2 linked regions of the Alligator mississippiensis genome follow. The protein of the gene in region 1 purifies or fractionates together with the protein of each later gene. This does not show direct contact. Links are inferred from orthologs where the notes say so. Each region holds a gene or a part of one and is shown on either strand. Other genes may lie near its edges. The genes, in order: ACIN1 and SAP18.

What was found.
Region 2: the proteins of ACIN1 (region 1) and SAP18 fractionate together in Homo sapiens (co-fractionation; 7 studies listed by BioGRID and IntAct, with this or other methods). This does not show direct contact. The link is inferred for Alligator mississippiensis from reciprocal best matches to the Homo sapiens genes ACIN1 and SAP18.

The regions. Positions count from the first base shown.
Region 1 is NC_081830.1:7,377,623-7,384,711, forward strand, and holds the start of ACIN1 (apoptotic chromatin condensation inducer in the nucleus), read right to left. Parts: upstream 3,240-7,089; 5' UTR 3,117-3,239; coding exon 2,979-3,116; intron 1,458-2,978; exon of another isoform or gene 1,272-1,457; intron 1,038-1,271; coding exon 972-1,037; intron 858-971; coding exon 746-857; intron 1-745.
Region 2 is NC_081824.1:433,379,493-433,386,698, reverse strand, and holds SAP18 (histone deacetylase complex subunit SAP18), read left to right. Parts: upstream 1-4,093; 5' UTR 4,094-4,140; coding exon 4,141-4,212; intron 4,213-4,291; coding exon 4,292-4,401; intron 4,402-5,573; coding exon 5,574-5,696; intron 5,697-6,382; coding exon 6,383-6,539; 3' UTR 6,540-6,951; downstream 6,952-7,206. UniProt on the Homo sapiens protein: Component of the SIN3-repressing complex. Enhances the ability of SIN3-HDAC1-mediated transcriptional repression. When tethered to the promoter, it can direct the formation of a repressive complex to core histone proteins.

The sequences.
Region 1 (7,089 bases):
AATCTGGCCCACAGAGCCCAAAGGTTGAGCCCCCCCCCCAGCTCTAGAACTACAGCACAGGTCCTGCTTCAGAGCTAAAGAGCACCACATGTTCTAGGTATCTCAACCCAGGACCTCAACTGCCAGACAGGTTTCCATGTGTCCCAAGGCTCCAGACTCTGCTGCTGAGTTCCAAGTCATGCAAAGCTCCTCAGAGCAAATCCCACAGCATGGTTTTTAGACTGTTCATCCTCCCCTAGACAAGCCAACCCTTCCTCTTTCTGGATCCCTCCCCTCTAAACGTCCTTCCAGGACCCATGACTGGGCTGCTACTTGACCTAAAGCCATGCCAGCCCCTTCCTCCTAGTCTAGGTGGCAACATCCACATCAGTGACTAGAAAAACAAGGCTGGGAAGGGTCCAATGATAAAACCAGATACCCAATGAATAGGTTTGGTGCCCAATCAATCACAGGGCCCTGCTTTCCCTGCTGCCCTCTGGCACTAACTATAAAGAAACGAATATTCCCGCTGGTTAGGGCTTGGAGAGATTCCAGCCAAAAGAAAATCTCTGTTTGTTTGGGAAGGGAGGAATGGAAACAATGGGGGAGGGGCTCTTTTGAGTCAATCATAAGAACCTATTTCTCCTGCAGTCAGGCCCCGAAGAAGCCCAATGCCCACTGGCTGAGCAGACATGTGAGCCCCAGCCAATTGGAAGTACCCATTCCTCCACCCCACAGCTAGGCTCTGCCCCAGCCCCACACTCACCCTCCAGCTCAGCTGCCTCCCTTGCCTCTCGTTCCAGCCGCTGCTGTAGCAGCTCCTGCTGCTTCTCCAGGTATTGCTTGATGAAACTGTTCTGGCTCATCTCCTCACCAATCTGCAGGGGGATGGGATGGGACAGGACGCGTGAGCAAGGCCGGACACCTGAGTTTCCCCCCCTCGGCTGGGGTCCCTGGCGGTTCGAGAGGCTGGGGGTGAGGGGGCCTCTCACCTGCGAGTTGGGCTGGAAGGTGGTGTGTGGTGTTGAATGCTTCTGGAGGTTCTCGAGCATCAGTGCCTGGGGCAGGGAAAGGGCAGGGTCAGAGATGTGCCCCCAAGATGGTCCCTGTGCCTTCTCCCCCTCCCCCGGTGCCCATCATTGGATTGCTCACATATGCCATCCAGGCTGCCCTGCATGACCTGAGCTGATCCACCCCCAAGTCTAGCACCCAATGCAATGCAGCCGTGTCCACCCAAACCTCCACAATCCAACACACCCCCAGTATCTACCCCAACCCATGATCCGACTCACCCAGGATCCCGGCCCCAATACTCCAGGCTCTGACCTGCCCCCAAACCCATCCGTATCCAATACTTGCCCCGACACACGTCACCACCCACGCTGACCCTCAGGCCACAGAACACGAAGCATGTAAATCCATCTCTACACCTTTCCCCCATGTCTCAATCCAGCTGACCATATCTGCCCTGACTCGCCCTTCATGACTCAATCCAACCCACAGCTTGCAGCCATCCCGACCCCCCTCATCCAACCCACCCCAACCCCCCGATCCAACAAAGTGCCCCAAGGCAACCCCAAACCCCTCCTTCCCCAATCCAATCCAGCCTCAAGACAACCCCAACCCTCCCACCAATCCAACCCATACCCCAGGTTCACTCACCCTTCCCCATCCATTCCTCCCCACAGAAGCAATGACCCATTCCCCCATCCAGCCTAGTCCACCCACAACCAGGTGCATGACCACAGATCCACTGTGCCCCAGATAACTCCCCCACTGGGCCTACCTCCACCACCAAGCAGCCCTAACATCTTCCTCCCCCCTGCCCTCATCTGACCCCCTGCTCCTGCCCAGCCCCAGCCAATGCCCAAGCCCCTGCCACCCAGAACCCCGTCAGCTGGATGCCAGAGCCTGCTGCCCCCCACGCTCAACTCCAGCTCTTCCTGTTGCCCAGCTGAAGCCCTTGGACATTGCAGCCCTGTGTTCTACCAACCACGCGCCTGTGGGCCCTGGCCTGGCACCTTCCAGCCCTCCATGGGGGTCTGGCCATACCAACTGGGGGAGCCAGGTCCCCAAACCAATACCCCTTACAGGACCCCTAGCCCCACATAGCCCCTCCAAGCCTCCTTAGACCCTCCAGGCCCAGCCCCTGAACTTATGTACCCCCTCCAGGCCCCCCTGACACCTTCAGCCTCCTCCCCATGGACCCCCCCTAGACCCTTTAGGCCTAGGGTGGCCATCGTAAAGGACATTCCAGTTTCCTGCTACTCTGTCCTCTATTGATACAAAACCCTATGCGCCTTTATATCCTCTATTTTTCTCTTCAATAGAGGACATCCAGACTGCCTTCTATGATGTCCACCCAGTCCCCCAAGTCTGCAGGCAACTCCCATGGGCACCTTCAGCACCCCTGCCCACACAGACCCCCAAAGTCCCAGCCCCTCACAGACTTCCCCAGACCAGCCAGGCGCAAACCCCCAACTCTGTACAAACTCCTGCAGCCTCCACAACCCTCTCCAGTCCTACAGACCTCCCCGGCTGCAGCCCCCACCCCCGGGACCATTCAGGCCACCCAGCCCTGCAACTCTGCAAGAAATGCCCAGCCCGATAGACACCTGCAGCCCCGCCAGCCCCCCGCCACTGCAACACCCCTAGACCCCTGCAGCCTTTTCCAGCCCCCCATGCATTCTACAGGCTACAGCCCCCAACTCTATAAACCCACCAGTCCCCAGCAACACTTTTAGTACCCCACGGCCCCTAGGCCCCACAGGGCCCGGCCTATCCCCCCAGCCCTGCGAGCCCCGCGCATGCGCACTCGGCCCCACGCCCTCCCACCCCTGGACCCCCTCATTCTCGGGGGGAGCCCCGCGCCCCGCCGCGCATGCGCACTTGCCCCCGCCCGCCGCGCCCGGGCCCCCCACTCCAGCCGGTTGGGGGGGAGGGCTCCCCGGGCGCATGCGCGCTGCACCCCGTGCCGCCTCGCGCCGCCGCCGCCTCACCCCGCGCAGCCGCTTGACCAGCGCGCTCTTCTGGCCGCTCTTGGCCAGACCGCGCTGCTCCAGAGCCGCCTTGAGGTCTGCGACACGCAGCATGTGGAGCGGCCTCCCGTCCAGAGTCACCTCCTCCCCGTCCGCCATCTTGTGTGGCGCCGCTGCCTTCCCTCCGCCCGCTCCGGCGGCTTCCGGACCCGCTCGGCACCTTCCGCACTAGCCTCGGCACCTTCCGGACGCGCCTCGGGCCGCGCTCGGCTCACCGCTACCCGGTCTCGGCCCTTTCCGGCGTTCCTCGGCTGTCTCCGCCCACCCGGAAGTGCCCGCGTCGGATGTTTCCGCCCGCGCCTCGGCTCCTCGGGGGTTTCCGTGCTCCGCTCGGCCCCGCACACCCGGAAGTGAGCTTCGGCAGTTTCCGGGGGCGACTCAGGGAAAAGGGAAAAGGGGGGGCGGAAGGAGCTCGGGCCAACCCGGAAGTGAGGGCCAAAAGCGCTCGGCTACTTCCGTCAGTGCTCGAGCAGCTTCGGGCCCTGCCGGAACGCGCCCATTGGTTCCCTTGGTGTGATTTCTTCGGGCATTTCCGGACGAGCTCGGGCCTGTCCGAAGCCAAGAGGGAGACCCCCCCTACTTAGTAGAGCAGACCGGAAGTTGGCCGTTTCCATGGGACCAGCAAGAAGTTGCTGCCTTGTGTATGTAGGGCCTACAGGAAGTTCCCGGGTCCCCTCTTTCCATGGGGCCAGCAGGAAGTTGCCCCCTTGTTTGTGTAGGGCCTACAGGAAGTTCCCCATTTACATGCAGCCAACAGGAAGCTGGGTGCTTGGGCAGCCAGAAGAGCCCACTCAGTGCCACACACACACACATTACCCCCCACGTCGCAAGATGGGGCCCCCCGTTTTCATCAAAGCCTCTTCTGTTGAAGTAGCGCCTACAGGAAGTTGGCATGTTGCCGCCCGCCTTAGGAAGTTGGGAGCTTGGGGAACCAATAGACCAGTAAGAAACCCCTGCTCTGCCCTTGGGGCCCAAGTGGTGTCCTCATTCCATCAAAGCCAGTTGTGTTTGCAGGGGTGCTGTCTGTTGACATAGGGCCTGCAGGAAGTTGGCCTGTTTGGGGCCAAGTGTGGGTTGGCAGCTTAGGGGATCAATAGGAGTCCCCACCCTGGGTCTCAGAGCCTGGGGTTGTCCAAAGCCACTTGCATTTACATAGATTCTACAGGAAGTCACTTTACTGATATGGGACCTGTAGGAAGGGGCCTGTTTCTCTAGACCTGACAAGCTGACAATCAGGGCAACCAAGAGCCCAGTAACACCCCTGCTGGATCTTCAGCAGAGTCCTGGCTTCCCCAGAACCACTCCTGTGTACATAGGGCCTGTAGGAAGTTGCCCTTCATTTATGTAGGGCTTACCTTAATTCACCAGCCATGAGGCGCCAGTGGGGCCGGGTCCTAAGGGATCTCCACCCTCCTCCTTGGGATCTCCTTGATTCCACCCGAGCCCCCTGTTTACCTAAGACCTACAGGAAGTGACTGAGCACTGAGTGGAGTGCATGGCCTCACCCCCACTTTGGGTATCCCCTGCGAAAGAAGGACCCCAGTTAGGGACTCCAGAGTCCAAAGAGAGGAGGGAAAGAGGAGCAGGAATACATTGGCTTGATTAGGAATGACAAAGGGCCATGAATGGGTGCACAGCACCCCCGTGTGGTCTTTTCTCAAGGCTGCAATGGGAGGAGATGCCGGGCACCTGGGCTCTCGCTTCAGGTAGGGGAGTGGACTGGAATCAGTCTGTGTTTGTGTGCGTGGTGGGGGTCGGGGGTGCTGGGACGCCTGGGTTCTTTCTCCCAGGTCTGGGAAAGGAGGGAGGCCTGCTGGCTTGGAGTGGGGGATGGGAGCAGAGCTAGCGCTCCTGGGTTCTCTCCTAGCTCTATCCAAACCCAGGACTTGGAGGGGGGGCAGGGTAAGACAGAGACACCATGAACCCCAGGGGCTCCCCCTCCCCCAGCAGCTGTCCCTTCTGGCTGGGGGTGGGTCCCTGTCCCACTAGAGACTGCATGGGGGAGGGGCAGTCAGCCTTCCTCCCCCCCTGCATGTGAGGTCTCAGGATGTGGGGACCCCCACTATTGAGCCCAGCTTGGGGGACACCAGCCATGGGTGGGGGGCTGGGTGTGGGGCCTATTTAGATATAGGGCCGGGGTGGTCCTCAGGCCAGCAGACCATGGGGAGGCAGGGGCCCAGTAGTGCCCATGCCCAGGGCTTGGGGGTGAGGGGGATTTCGCAAGCGCTTGGGGGGGCCCCGGTTACGCCATGGCCCCGGGGTAACGGCCTGTTTCTCAAGAGTCCGTAATCAGCTCCACTCACCTTGAGCTGCTTCCTGCCCCAGGGGGGGGCGTGGTTTGGGGGGAGGGGATGCCCTGGGGGGGAGGGGGCAGCTTGGAGCCCTGGGGGTAGAGAGGCGGGAGGGGGGCAAATATGGAGCTCCCCAGCTAGGGGTGCCCCAGCCTCCCTCCTTCCCCCACACACCTTCCCCCACTACCCTCCCCCGCACCGGGCCGGAGGTTGGGACACCGACCACGGGAAACCATCCGGCCTTACACAACCCCCTGGTTTTGGGAGGGAGGGTAGGGTGCACTGAACCCAGGCATCTGTGACAGCTCTCTCACAGCACACAACCCAGCTTCTGCAGGACCCAGGAGTCTGGGTCTGGTCTCACACTCCAGGGAGGGAACCCTGCTGTCTGAGATACAATTGTTCCAAAGGAAAGAATAGGACCCAGGCATCCGGGCCAGGGTTGGTCACTAGCGCCAAGTCTGGGGGGCCGTGGCTGAGCATACAGGACCCACTCTGCAGTGATGCCCCATCACAACAGCAAGCAACAGGGATATCCTTGCATGAGGAACAATAGCGAGCAGACAATAGTGAACACGACAGAGGCACTATGCTCAGAAAGCAGTCGTGTCCTGAAAGCACAAGTGAGCAGCATGCAACAGGCATGAGTGCAGAGCGAGCGTGCCATGGAGCCATGGTGAACAAGAGTGAATAGGGCAGGGCAATTGTGAGCACAGAACAAACCATGAGGAAGCTGCAGATGCATGCATCACAACAGTCATGAGCGCAGGAGAGGACCAGCACCAACAGTTTTCATTATGGGATAATGATACAACACAACCGTCGTGAATAGTGAGGTGTTCAGAATAAGAGTACCACACCACAATAGAGAAAAGCAAATAGCTGGGGCATGATTATGGTCACAGACTAACCATGCCACACGCAAGTGAACAGTAGATAAGTGAGAGAGAACAATGGGGCCACTTGATAGTGAACAGCAAGTGCTGGGACACGGTAATAGCAATCAGAGAATAATAATGCCACCCCACCTATAGTGAACGATGGGGACAGGATGCTGGTCAATTAACAATGCCATAGCAGAGAAGCATGACACAACAGTGGTGCTCAGAGAATAACATAGCCACGTAATAGTGAACAGCAAAAGCTAGGGCATGTCAATGGCGATGACAGAACAAGATCACCACTCACCACCAGCGAAGAGTCCATGATTGTGACCACAGCAGAAAAGCGTGACCCCATGATGGCAACTGGATAATGGGGCCACCCACTAGTGAACAATGAGAGCTGGGACACGCCAACAGCAATGGGAGAATCACAGTGCCACACAAGAACACACGCCAAGTCACTGTTGTGCAGAATGGTTTCATCGTGGGATAATGGTGCAATGCAACAGTAGTAAACGGTGAAGAATGGATGCGGCCATGACGAGCCCAGAATAGCGATGGCAATAGTGAACAGGGGATCATTGCACAGTGGTGATCAGCGTCATACTGCCACGTGATAGTGAACGGGGAGTTGGTGACACCACGATGGCAATTGTGGCATAACTGTGCCATGCAATGGTGAACAGGCAGGAAGCAGAGGCAGGATGGCATCTTGGAGACTAACTGGCGCAGATCTTCATGAGCTTTCAAAGGCCACAGGAAGTGAACAGTGCATGGGTAATGACATCACAACAGTGATCCCAGTGTGAAGGAGTCCGGGACAGCAGAATCACAACAGTGACAGCAGCATGACAGCGCCACTCAGTAGTGACATCATGGGGAAGGTCACAGCAATGG
Region 2 (7,206 bases), on another chromosome or scaffold:
AACTGTAAAATCTTGCCTTCTGATCTCCAACCTAAACCTGTTCTCCATCAGTTTATGACCATTGTTCCCTGTCATCCCAGGTGGTGCTGGGGAGAAAAAAGCTCTGCCTATTTGATCCCCCCTGATGAGCTTGTAGGCAGCCACCAGGTCCTCCCTCAGCCTCCTCTTGCTGAGGCTGAACAGATTCAGGTCCTTCAGTCTCTCCTCATAGGGCCTGTCCTGCTGCCCTCTCACCAAGTGGGTGGCCCTCCTCTGAACCCTCTCCAGGCTGGCCACATCCCTTTTGAAGTGCGGCGCCCAGTACTGGACGCAGTACTCCAACTGCGGTCTGACCAAAGTCACATAGAGGGGGAGTATCACCTCTCTGGCTAGGACCAGGTCCAGCAAGGCATTACCCCTATTGGGGCTGTGCACTTCCTGGATAAGATGAAGGTTCTGTAATACAGCCAGGAACCTACGCGAGCAGTCAGACCTGGCTGTCTGCTCCTCCCAGCAAATGTCTGGGTAGTTTAGGTCACCCATGACAATAACATCCCTTGACCTAACCGCCTCCATAAGCTGACTGGAGAAGTCCTGGTCTAGCTCTTCCCCCTGGTTGGGTGGTCTGTAGTAGACACCCACTGTAAGGTCCCTTTCGCCACGTCTCCCTTGTAGTTTGAACATAGCTGTGCTGTATTTGTTGCAGCTGTTCTTTTATGATACCTGATCCTAAGCATACATTCCTTAAGTTTTGCAAATGGAGGTCTGTGTATTAAGGCCTAAACATGTATTACTGGGCCAGATATAACTCATTTTAACAGTGTAATGAGTTGCATTGTTGTCTTGGAAATTCCACCCTACAGATGGCAATGATGTTGAATTACTTCCTTTGATAATTCAAGTGATAATTATAACTTCATACCATAGGGTTGGCTTCTTTGTCAATATTATCTCTCACAAAAGGAAGGGAGAGGAGCGAGGGTACACTAACTTAGGTTTTGTTGGTTCTCTCGTCTTATTTTAGCAGTGGTATAAATCAAAATTAAAAACTCAGTTTGTATTGATATTACATTACAGAGAGCTAGAGATAATTAAAAAATAAACTGGGTTCTTTTTTCTTCTTTATGATGTGTGTAAAAGACCTGAAGGTAGGGAAGGAATTTTAAATTTTTTTTTGACTGTTTGGCCATTTTGTTTGACTGTCCTGAGTCCTAGAAATGCAAGTGCAAAAGTACAAACTGTAGCTCTACACCTTTATGCATGTGTATTATAATAATCAATGATGAGATCACAGGCTACTTTTAAAAAATGCACAACATATTTCATATATTTTCCAGTAGTGTTAGGTACCTGATTCAGATAAGCGCAAGTACAGGCTTATTCAGGGAAGCACTTTAGTTTATCAGTGCTTTAGATATGTAGGTATTGCAGGAGCACCCTTGTAAAAATGCCAGCCCCTGTTGCTAAACAGGAGACATAACATAACTAGGTTCATTTATTGCATCTCTCTAAAGCTCTGGTTTTGCTGGAATCATGCACATTCTTAGCTTTATGCTTTGAGAGTAGTTCTCCTTACAGAGTGCATAGTTAAGGAAGAGTATAAGCCTTTGCAGGATTATCATAAATGTGTGGTAGGTGAGGAGGCACAAAATTGTTACAAAGAATGATCTAGAAAAGAAAATATGCTAGACTATGATGATAATGGAATGGTTCTTTTAATTTTTTCTAAATCAACTTGTAAGTGTGAAGTTTTTTTTCTCACCCTCTTGAGCCTAGTTATCATCACTACTATGAAGATATGAGCGTAGTTATTTTATTTCTGATCCTCATACCAGAAACATACATTTATCCTGTTTCTGTGTTCCACTTGGCAGAGCACAACAGCTGATCTAAGACTGACATGATGCAATGTTAAATTATTGGAAAAACTAGGGTATAAAATAGATAGCATATGGACTTGGTTGTTCTAGTCTGTGATATTATGGGAACATTTTAAATGATTTGTTGAAATCCAATTTATTTTTAAACTACTTGTAGTTAAAGCACTTTATTGCTACATAGTTATCTGCTGTAGACATCTGTTAAAATCTTTACCCCTTAGAGAATTTTGTCTTGTTCTAGAAGCATAAATCACATTAGCTTCTTATAAGCTTTTCCATATATTAGAAAATGTTGGAGATGATTTAGCCCCCAAAGCTTGAGAATCAATTTGCAAACATGAAACCGAGCAGAACAAATGTAGGAAGCTATTTCAGAACATCAGTTAAACTTCATCAGCAAGTGACAGAAGTGACAGATACAAGACTACTTAGTATATAGAAGTGTTTCTACATTTCCCATTTAAACAAGTCTCTTTAAAGCCTGTGAAGTCTACCAGTGAAGTCCACCAATAAATAACAATGATGCCTTAAGACAAAACTACCAGGAACTTGGCTGGATTCAGGTAAAAGGCAACATAATGTATTATACATTGCAAAACAAAAATGAAAAATATCATTGACAGCCCTGCATATTCTACCTACAACAGGGGTGGGCAAAATGTGGCCTGTGGGCCATTCTATCCAGCCCATGGGGCCCCTAAAAAGTTTAGAAAATTAATATTTATCTGCCCCTGGCTGCCTGTCATGCGGCCCTCGATGGCTTGCCAAAACTCAGTAAGTGGCTCTCCGCCCAAAATAATTGTCCGCCCCAGCCTACAAACTACCACTGCCTTGAACCCACAGAGGCAGGCTCAGAAGCCTATTTAGTCATTTGTCAACATTTTGTTAACTATTTCACTGTTCATCATGGCATGTAAGAGAAGAGAAATCAAAGAACTGCACCATCCACTTGGAATGGAATTTAATGTGGATGCCTTTCCCCTGGCCTTTGAGAGAGAACTGGTGTCCTGTGACTCCTACTAGCATAACTAGTGGTGGCAGCAGGGCACCTGCCTTGAGCATTCACTTCGAGGAATTACCAAAACACCCCCATCCCCAGAGCCTTTGCTAGGGTAGGCAAACCCCAGGCACAGAAGCCTGGCAGGCCCCTGGGATTTTTGCTAAGGGAGGTACAGCTTCTGGCTCAGTAGTGTAGCGGGTGGGGGGGGTTGCGCACAAGGCACCGGGAGCAGCCCCTGGGCAGCCTGTGCTGTGGGGGCAGCCAGCACATGACATCCAGCTGCAGCTCCTTGGGGCTATCTCAGTACCTTGTTCACTGCCCAACCCCCTCCAGATACGTTCCTGGGCAAGGAGCTATACTTCCCATGGCAACGTGCCCTTGGGCGTACGCCGTTCTGCTCCCCCCCCCACACATACAGATTGGGTGCTGGCCTGCCCCCCATTTATCTTGCTGGGATCCTTTGACCCCAGCTGACTTGCTGCCCCTAGAGTGGGGGGCTGGACTCAAGATCTTCCAAGGTCCCCTCCAGCCCTAATGTCTATGAAATCTATGAAATCCTGCAAAGGCTTCTGGGCCTGGGCTGTGCTTGTCCTAGGAGACTCCCTCAGGGGGTCACTGGTGCCCCTGCTGTGGCTGGTGTGCGGGGAGCTTGCCCTTCAGCTACAGCAGCAGCTGACACCACAGCATGGGGAGGCTGGCGCAGGCAAGACACCCCTCAGCCCTGGTGCACCAGTTGCTGGCACTCCGCCCAGGGCACGGCAGGCACTTGTGACACCTCTGCTTGCTCCCATGTCACGTGTTGAGGCAACAGGCCATCACGGAGGACGTGTGAGGTCCACATGAGCCAGCACTACCCCAGCCACCCTGAAACCAGCTGCAGGCTATGTGCTTCCCTGGTGAGTGGGGCCTCTCCCTGCTCTGCTGCCTGCCTGCAGGCTCAGGAGCACGTTGCTTGCCCCCCCCCCCCATGCTTTCCACCAGGCCCCACCCCCTTCACGGCCAAACCACGCCCCCTTTGGGCACGAAACCCCACCCAGCAGACCAGGTCTGTCCCTGTAAACTGCGCATGCGCCGAACCATCTCCCCGTTTGCCACTGTGAATTGCTCATGCGTAGAACGATCCTCCCTCTCCCCTCCCTCGCGCGTGCGGACGCCCGCCCCGCCTTCTCTTTGCTGCGCATGCGTACGATCCCCATCCAGCCTCCCGCGAGCTCTCGCGAGAGGGGCAGTTGAGGCTGCACCCCAGACATCCGGGTAACTTCCTTGGAGGCCGGAGCCGAGATGGCGGTTGAGTCTCGCGTCACGCAGGAGGAGATCAAGAAGGAGCCGGAGAAGCCCATCGACCGCGAGAAGGTGCCGGCGGGGCCGGGCCGGGCGGGGCGGGGCGGAGAGGGGCCGCGGGCGGCATTGACGGGCTGTGCTCGCCTTGCAGACGTGCCCGTTGTTGCTGCGGGTCTTCACCACCAACAACGGACGGCACCACCGCATGGACGAGTTCTCGCGCGGCAACGTGCCCTCCAGCGAGCTGCAGATCTACACCTGGTGCGTGCCCCCCCGCGGCCCTGCCCGCCCCGCGCCGCCTGCTGCTGACTGGGAGTCCCCCCCCCTCCCCGCCTGTTCTCGGTTCAGGGGGGAGGGAAGGATCAGCGGGGGCTCGTTCTCGGGGCTGGCGCTGGAGCTGGGCAGGTGTATTGGAGCCCCCCACACCTGGGGGCTGGATAACCCCCTTCCACTCCCACCCCCCTCCCATTGTGGAAACAGCAAGGGGCTGGGAGGCGGTGCAGACAGATGTCACAGAAGACGCTCTGCCTTCAGATGTCTTTATCTGACCCCTCATGCAGCGAGGGTTCAGGTTTTTCCCCTTTTCGGCCATTTTCAAAGCAGTCTGCGGCCATGCGCTTGTGTTTGGTCACGGCTGTTGCCTGCTTTCTGTGTCCGCGTCGGATGAAGAGTGTCACTTGTGTCTGCGCTCTTAGAAGACGAGAGCTGTGTTAGGAGTCTTGTTAAGTGTCAGGGCTAAGCCCTCCTTGTTCATGGAGTTGGGGGGGAGGGAGGGAGGGTTGGTCAGTTGCACCTACCCTAGCAAAGACTGATGGGTTCCTTGTGCAAGTTGCCTGACATCTCTCTCTCTCTCCCTCTTTTTTTTAGTTATTTTTTTCACTTCCTTAGTCTCTCTTGTAAGGGTTTAAAAAACAATACAAAAATAAGTGGTTTTATTGCTGTCAGCTGAAGATCCCTTTGTGCTCTGTAGTGTATAAATGTATAAAACCAGGTCAGTGCCCTAAAGAACTGTGTTCTGAAGTAGACTAGAAAATGGGTAGAGAGGTCACGGCAGTTTGGAGCGGAGCCAGGGTTAGACCCCAGACTTTCTGAGTATGAGATCACTACATGTTTGGGGGGTGGGAGGGAGGGGATATCCTAGCAGGTGTTCTAGTTACTAGTGAGTACTCATCCTGGACATGTTTTGAATACTTTGAATGTTGAAAGGAAAATACTTCAAAACCCAAAATACTTAACCACGAAATGCTTCTTGTGTCATTTAAATACATAAAAGTATTGAGTTATGCAAGAGAGAGGTGTTTTTAGAGTTGTCTATGATTTAGACAAAAAGTCTCACAGATGACATTTTTAGTAAGTGTAAGATTTTTAAGAACTTCAAATAAAAAAAGAAACCCTCCCCACCTTAATGATTTTTTTTTCTTTTTAAAATCTAGGATGGATGCAACTTTAAAGGAGCTGACAAGTTTAGTGAAAGAAGTCTATCCAGAAGCACGGAAAAAGGGAACACATTTCAATTTTGCCATTGTTTTTACAGATCTCAAGAGACCTGGTTATAGGTAACTGACTGAAGTCTTATTTGCAGTAACAGTTTATGTTCCATGTTGTATGAGAGAAGTTCTTCATAGTAACAGAGTGCATGGCAATCGCTTGTTAATATTTGATTTTTTTTTTTCAGTTACTATTCCTGTTTCTCTTTTCTAAAACACTGAGAAGTGTTTGCCTAAAGATGTTGGTCACTAGATTATCTGCCACCCAGAATACGCGCCTGTAGATAGGAGTGGAAACAAAAAGGCTGTTTCTGGTAGTAAGGGTAGTAACTGTATCACCATCAAGAGTTTGCTCTTAGCACAAATTTATTTTTTTTAATTAAAACTGGATAGGGACAGTTTTTATATGAGCTCACCAGAAACTAGTTGAAAAAGCAGGGGCTTGGGTCCTGCTATATTTCTTGCATTTTCTTTACCACTTCTCTTGTGTCTAACTTGCCAGATACTTCAAGCTCTGACAGGGGAAAAGTTGATGCAACTTTATTTACTTATTTTATGTCTAGTGTTGTATCAGAGAAACAGCTAATACTGTATTAAGAAGGGAGGCAACGTCTTTGTATCCCACTAACTGAGGAAAAACTTAACAGTTCATCCCCTTCAGATCCTGTTTAGTCTGCAAATCTCTCTGACATTAAAAAGAGACTGACTTGCTCTTTTGTTGTGTAATGAAATGACGTTTCATATCTTCCCTTCAGGGTGAAAGAAATTGGCAGTACGATGTCGGGAAGAAAGGGCACAGATGATTCCATGACGCTGCAGTCTCAGAAATTCCAGATAGGGGACTACTTGGATATAGCAATTACGCCTCCAAATCGGGCACCACCCCCATCAAGCCGCATGCGACCATATTAAAGTGTCATTTTTTTGTAGATGACTGTATCTTCCAGTGGGTTTCACATGCTGTAGGAAACAGGCCTTTTTTATTACTATTGCTAAGCAAGATCTGAAAACACTTCTAAGCCTTGACAACAAGAGTTAAATAATTAATTTTACTGCGTGAGTTTAAAAGAAACAGTATCTGAATCTGCTTTGTTATCTCTTCTTTCCTAGCTGTTATGATATGAAAAGTGAATAGAAATGTTCAGTGTTTCAAGATTTATGTAAAATGTGACTGAGAGCTTAGAAGTGCTCTTACCATTCTGTTAAAAGCCATGTAGAGTGGAATAACATTATTATTGTTTTGAACATGTTTCTGAGTTTGAAGACTAGATCAGGCCTGATTTAATGGTGGTTGAGCTTGATTAAAAACAAACCGCTCACAGGAGAGAGAGTGCTTTTCTTGACTGACTTGCTACCTAGCAGCATGTGAACAGTGGCATCAGTGGGAGAATCCTTGTGTATGATTACTTTCCAGAAGTAAGTCTCCAAACAACATTTTGTTTGTTGTTTTTTTTTAAAGAGTAATTATCTTTCCTTATCATCAAAGCAAACACGACCTATAAAAGTCTAGTTTTACTAATGCACCTGCCCATTTTAAAGGAAAAACAAGTATTCTTTATTTTTAAAAAAGCTTTCAAAT